2 linked regions of the Kluyveromyces lactis genome follow. The protein of the gene in region 2 interacts with the protein of the main gene of each other region in a biochemical or structural test. Links are inferred from orthologs where the notes say so. Each region holds a gene or a part of one and is shown on either strand. Other genes may lie near its edges.

What was found.
Region 1: the proteins of RPN11 (region 2) and RPN9 form a complex in vitro, tested with the Saccharomyces cerevisiae proteins (2 studies listed by BioGRID). The link is inferred for Kluyveromyces lactis from reciprocal best matches to the Saccharomyces cerevisiae genes RPN11 and RPN9.

What each region holds. Positions count from the first base shown.
Region 1 is NC_006038.1:62,864-66,442, reverse strand, and holds RPN9 (proteasome regulatory particle lid subunit RPN9), read right to left. Parts: upstream 2,160-3,579; coding exon 975-2,159; downstream 1-974. Other genes in the region: TIF35 (translation initiation factor eIF3 core subunit g), read left to right, coding at 1-460; SNX41 (Snx41p), read right to left, coding at 2,461-3,579. UniProt on the Saccharomyces cerevisiae protein: Acts as a regulatory subunit of the 26S proteasome which is involved in the ATP-dependent degradation of ubiquitinated proteins.
Region 2 is NC_006041.1:1,251,380-1,254,695, forward strand, and holds RPN11 (proteasome regulatory particle lid subunit RPN11), read right to left. Parts: upstream 1,437-3,316; coding exon 501-1,436; downstream 1-500. Other genes in the region: mRNA splicing protein SAD1, read left to right, coding at 1-388; type 1 protein phosphatase-activating protein YPI1, read left to right, coding at 2,119-2,586; linker nucleoporin NIC96, read right to left, coding at 2,834-3,316. UniProt on the Saccharomyces cerevisiae protein: Component of the lid subcomplex of the 26S proteasome, a multiprotein complex involved in the ATP-dependent degradation of ubiquitinated proteins.

The sequences.
Region 1 (3,579 bases), on a different chromosome or scaffold from region 2:
CACCATGCATTGTCCGTACAAAGACACTTTGGGAAAGAAACCTACTACATCTGCTGGTTTAGACCCGGCTATCGGTGGTGGAGATATGAGCGCTCAAGGAGGCTCTGGCTCTGGCAGATACGTGCCACCATCCCTACGTGCTGGTGCTCGTGATCCATCTTCTAATGCTTACCAAGACCAAAGAGAACGTGATGATGCAAAGACTATTAGATTGACCCAGGTTAACGAACTTGCAGATGAAGAAGTGCTTAAAAGAGAATTACTCTTCCCATTCGGTGAGATTCCTAGAGTATTCGTCGTCAAGAACCCAGAAACTGGTAGATCCCGTGGTGTTGCTTACGTTACTTTCCAAACTGAAGAAATTGCTGCTCAAGCTTTGAAATTATTGGAAGGCAGAGGTTTCATGAATTTCATGTTACACGCAGAATGGTCTAAGCCAAAACCAAAGAAAGAAGAATGATAAACTGTAAGAACTCGCTGATCAAACTGATATAGTATTTTTTGAAGAGAAAAACTACTTCAAAACTAAGTTCTAAACCCATTATTTCAATACCAAGGTCTCTTTACTTCTACCTTCAAAGTTGTTGCATCTTATCTTACAGCTTATTTGTTCCCTACAATTTATCCCATTCCTTTCATAACATGGGATATCTCTGCGTAGCGTGACGTATGTGTATCCTAATAATCTTACTTCCTGGTTGAACAAATGAGCATATCACTCAGCATCATACGGTTATATTATATGACATTCTTTGACCCATTTTGCTCTCGAACGATACAATAGCATATGTGTATAATTACTACATTCGAGTACTATGTGTGTTACGTATCTACCTGTATATTACAAACTCCAAGATATATCGTCTAACTCTTTCAGAAATTCAAACCGATCAATGAAACATGTTGGTGGATTTCGTTTTTCATAGATATTAAGCGGATGTACGTAGTATATAATATGTGACGATACTTAAGCATTATACCCAAATACTTTTACCCCTTCCTTCAATCTTATTACCCAATTTCGACACTTCATCTTGCCATTTTATCAAGTTATCTTTCATTTTTTTAATTTGCTCTTGGTTGATGATCCTAGGCTGAACCCACGTAATTGTAACCAATTGTTGGACTTGATCTATTGATCCCTTCAACAATCCTAAGCTGATACTTCTCATTACTAAATGTTCAACACTGTCGATAGGTAAAAATGTGGCATCTGCAATATCGCGGAAAGACAACGTTCTGATAGACTTTGCAAACACGCTTTCTACTAGAGTCATCAAACAAATCTTTTGTCTCAAGAATGACTCATGTTGAGCTAAGATTGGTACCTTGGGAATTCTTTCTTTTGAAATTTGATCAAACTTTTGGAAATCCCCTTCAGTTAATGCGTTCAAGAATCTGAATAACCATTCGTATTCTTTATCGTTTGAAATACTTGAAATAATTGGATGCTGAAGTAGTTCACCGAAATTATAGATATTGTCACCTAACAATGCTGCAATGCACAAATTGTATGCCAATTGTTGTTGTTCGAGTTGTGTCAATCGCTGCTGTTGTTCTTCCGAAGTGATTGTTGAGAGATATAAAAGACTGGTATAATAGAAATTGTTGAAGTCTTTCTTTACTTGGTAATAGGAAGCGTTACACGAGTAGTAGGCACCGGTAACTCTGAGAGGTACCGAATCTTGAACATCAAGTGTTTTCCCAATAGCGTCTAGGATGTCTCTGACCTCAACTAGGTCCCCCTTTTCCAATTTCACACGAGCAATCTCAATATCTAACAACAAGTTCCCATTTACATGAGGTTTTAAACCATCGTTTCTTTGCTTCTTTTCATCAATTTCTTTGAATTCCTTTTGAAGATCCTTTAGATATTGTAATGATTCTTCTGTGTCATCGTTTTCTTGTAATGCTTGCAACAAAAACTCAACAACATTCAATTGGTTTATCTTGTCAATGAACTTACTGACAAATTGGGTATAAAGGCGAAGTCTGAACGATTCTGATTTGCTATCATGGAAAAAAATCGCTAGCTTCTCAGTTAACTGATGCCATAGCTTCCTCTCATACAAGTCTTCAAAATCGTCGAATAATGGGGCCAATTCACTATTGACTTCCTGCTTCAATGTAGATAATATGGTGTCAATTTCGTGTGTCATATTTTGACTATTTAAGCTTGCTGAAGTGCTGTTAGTCGTGCGATGTATGCCTTAATCTATAATCTTTAATATTCTGTTCGCCACCTTACATTTCAGAAGGTGTATCGATCTATATATTTCATATTTACAAAACGTCAATCGAAGCATGAAAGTCGTTAATAATGACAATTCTCCAAACAAATGCTGTGAGAAGTGGATGAACTAGATATGTGACAGCAAATCATCTCCATCTGCACTTTCATCATCAAATAATGTAGTTCAATGCAATACTTCATGCCTTTCTTTTTGAGATATAAACCTTTTATATGCTATCTATAGACTGTTTGGCATTTTTCCAAGACTCTGAACAATCCTTTAACCATGATGTTATATTGTGGGCTAGTTCGCGGAAAATGAGGAACCACTTCTCATGGAAATATTTCTCTAAGTTATTCAAAGAGTTATCCATTGACTCATTGACTTGTTGTAAGTCCTTTTCGATGAGTTTGAAACATTCATTCAGTTTTTCAAGTTCCTTTTCTAGTTTGTTTACCTGTACAACCCGTTCGTCTTTAGTTAGAAGATGAGGTTCGACTTCACTTGAAATCGAATCAGATCCAGACTTGTTGTTTGGAGATGCTGATGACCTGAAAAGCCCCATTATCTGTTTGTCCGTGTGATTCTTGTTTGCTGACTTACGCGTCATGGAGTCCATAACTTGAGCAACGGTGGGTGATTCCTCTGCATTTAATTTCAATGCCTCGCCCAATCGTACAGCTTGTAGGTCTGCCTCTTTCAATTCACGGATTCTATCTTTCCTCTTCTTTATCGTAGTTTCAATTGTGTAAAATTGTTCTTGCTTGAAATTTCTGAAGTGAAGAACTCTTTGTGCTTCATGAATGAACTGAAGCATTTCTTTGCTTCCCTCTTCTAGACTGATCATGATTGCTTCACTAAATATCTCTGCACTAACATAATTCACATCGATTGCTTGACCTGTCTTCTCTATTCCCATCGATAGACGATTCATTTGTTCAAATAATGCACTCACTTGAAACACGCTATTCTCTAGACTGAACGCGTTGAAATACGCGCCGAGTTCAGATAAAACAGCCGAATAAGTTTGAATATTCGACCTTATACTTCTAACGGTCTTGTTCAAAGGTTGTAGGATCGCCTTGTACCTGATGAGATCTGAATCGTAATCCGCGAACTTGATCTCCATCACATCGTTCCGGCCTATCAATTGTTCATGCTTACGCATTGTCAGCACCGTAGGTGTTGGCAATAATAAATGTATGGGGCTTGGTTTCGTGGGATTTAATGGAGGCGCTAAAAGATTATTCATTGGTAGGATTGAGATCGGTGGGGTATTTAAAACTTCCTTCCAGAAATATTCTGGATTCAAGAATTTTTGAAACACGATATGATTCCTTATCTC
Region 2 (3,316 bases):
ATTCAATGGCGAAACAGAATACCATACCAAAGATTCCATCAAAACGTACCGTATATTGAAGCATCCTAAATTCCTAATACTTCATTTCAACAGGTTTGACAAAGGCTTCACTTCCATTAAAGATAGAAACAAAACTCTAGTAGAGTTCTCTGAAAAATTAGAATTCAGTGGTGTACACTATAAATTACTAGTAAATATCACCCATGATTGCGTAATACAAATGAAAATATCGGATACAGAAGATTTGTTAGCCAGCAGATGGAAAGTACACCTCGCTGATACTTTACGCGACCAATGGTACGAGTTTGATGACATTGAAGTGAATAAGGTTGAGAAAGAGTTTCTTTTCCTTAAAGAATGTTACATTCAAATATGGCAACGCGTTTAGAAACTGCTTTCGTTATTCAGATTATCTACACTCTTGGATCGATTCATCATTTCATCGGCTAAAACTTATCTCGCAAATTGAAGTTGATGTATTTTTACTGTATGTAAGATGGTTATTTAATAGCAACAGAGTTAACACCCGCTGTTAATACAGATACTATATTGTCTTCCAAGAGCTTTTCAGCAGTCTCTGCAAGATGTCTTTTTGGATCCTGTTTTCCTACATAACGCGTTTTCAATTCTTCTTCACTCAATTCTCTCTCTTCCTCAATTCTCTTAGTGAATTGTTCAGCGATCTTAATCATTTTCTGAGTTTCACCCAAGTTGTGCTCCTCTCTTTCCTTGAAATCATGCATTTTTAGTCCCGATTGCCATTGTTCCTTATGTAGATTCATTAACATGTTCATTTCGGCGGAAGTCTTGTGATAATCGATATTAAGCGAGTAATAATGCCTATTTAGACCATGAATCAACGCTTGAATATTCGGTTTGTTGATCAACCCGATATTAGAAGTATTTTGCCTTGGTTCCTGGTTTCTCATGACAGTAGAAGGGTCAATTAGTCTGAATGCATCAATGACCACTTTACCCTTCACCGATTGAATAGGATCAACAACCACCGCCACAGCCCTGCTGTTTAATTGTTCAAATGATTTCTGAGTATTCACATCTACTGAAGATAACCAACAACCAAAACCCGGATGTGAATGGTACCATCCGACAACCATTTGATCTCTTCCTGTTTGTTTTAACATATCCATCATCTTAGCTTGAAAAACATCATCAACAGCCTCGACAGAAACACCTGTACCTGACTGAGGCATGGCAAACACATCGACAACGTTTACTGTATAATCATCAACAAATTCTCCCAACATAAGACCCATGACTTCCATTGGAACACCAGCTCTCCCATGTTTCAACATCTTCAACAATGCAAGAGAAGAAATGTACACAGTTTCCTTGGTGTCATCAAGGGGAACCTCGGTGGCATTGGCACCCATCATGCCTGCTCTTTGAGACATCATCATTCTTTGTAAACTTTCCATCTTTTGTTGAAGGATTTGAATTGCGGAGACGATAAATTGGCTTTTGTATCAGCGTTCTGTTTCTTGATATAATACTTCCTTAATAAAGTACCAACAAATTGAAATTCTTATTCTTTCCTGAGAAGTATGCAATTGTCTTGTAGATTTCAATTACTGTGTATCTAATACTGCTAATAATGACTTATGGATACCACACGTACAGAGATGAGAATTCTTGACGAATTATCTGCTTATACCTTTATCAATTGTAAACTGTTTGCCACTGCATTACAAAGTTACGATCTTTCTTTTGGCTTATGGATTTAGTAGTCATTATTAACGAACATCACCACTTTCTGACCTTCAGATATTTAACCTCTTTCTTCCCTTTAAAAATGAGATGAGACTGGAGTACTTCTATGCATACATGGATATCTCATATACAAAGCGAAGCTCCATGGTCTAGTACAGTCAAATACTCGAGAGCACGACTTGTTGAAGAAAATATTCCGTTTTATTGACGCCGAAGATTTTAGAAATAGGAAACGATTTCTTACATTATTCATACTTTGTTCCCAGTCCTTTGATAAGTGAAATTACGAAAGATTATCAAGACTTAGACAGGAAAACTTTACCTATCGTCACGCTTTTTTTATCAGTTTGATCCATCATCATAATTAAACTTTGAAATATTTCCTAACATATGAGTGAAGGACCTTCTGCTCTTCCTGAAGGAACGCATACCGTCACTGTTACGGAGGTTCCGCAGCTGCTTCAATTGCGTGCTGGCCAGAATGAGAAAAACAAAACTAAGAAGAAGGACACCAAGTCTAAAGTAAGATGGGATGAGAAAGTAATAGATAATGAGAACATGAACAAGAAGAAAACTAAGATTTGTTGCATTTTCCATCCTAATACCCCATTAGAGAGTGATGAAGAAGAGGAAGGAGAGTGCGAGCACGATCATAATCATGGACATGATTCATCGTCTTCATCATCTTCGTCTTCTTCAGACGAGGATGAGGGAAAAAGCTTTGACGAAAGAAGAAAGGCAAGACTCGAAAGGCGGAGAAAAAAGCTTGAGCAAAAACGTCCACCAAGTCCGAATGCATACGAAGTCCAGCCAGATTACAGCGCTTATAGAGATAAGAACAGAAAAGACGCTCAATGATTTAGGAATTTGATCAGCATACTCTTTCACTTCTTGTACATTTCGTTGCATCTTCTACTCACTACAACAATGCACTGCTGAAAAGGTAATTGGCAGTTCAAATGTATATATATACATATGCATATATAATCTATCAGGCAATTATATCGAATAACAATCGACTTACACATGGTTATTTTATTGTATGCTATTATGGTAGGACGTCTGGGTTCTGACATAACTCAGGTGCTCATAAATGAGAGCTCTGCTACAAACCAACTTCTATATTGATTAATATGCTGTAAGTTTCTCTTGGCATTTTGTATTGAATCATACCAGCATAAATCATACAATTTTTAGCAACACGTTTGAGAGAATCGATTTGCTGCTTTTTAGTCAAAGATTGGTAATCACTTTCGTTCAACTGCTTTATGATGTTAGAAATGCATAGCATTGTAATTATCAACAGGTTAGGTATGTTCTTTAATATATTCTCATCCAAATGTGTAAATTCTTGTGCTCTTTTTCTGGTCGAGCTTTCATCCGTGAACGGAATTAAATCGAGATCTTCAATCTGTTGTAGGGTGTTTTGCCATTGGCGTGCTAGGAATGATGCTCTTATATCAGCTAGTTTCAACAAGACAATACATGTTTCTTTGTTTCTTGCCTGAACCTTTTTAGAGATTTCGATGTTGTTGATGTACACTTCGATTAACTTCTTTGCCATTAAGACGTAATTCGTTTCGCTGTT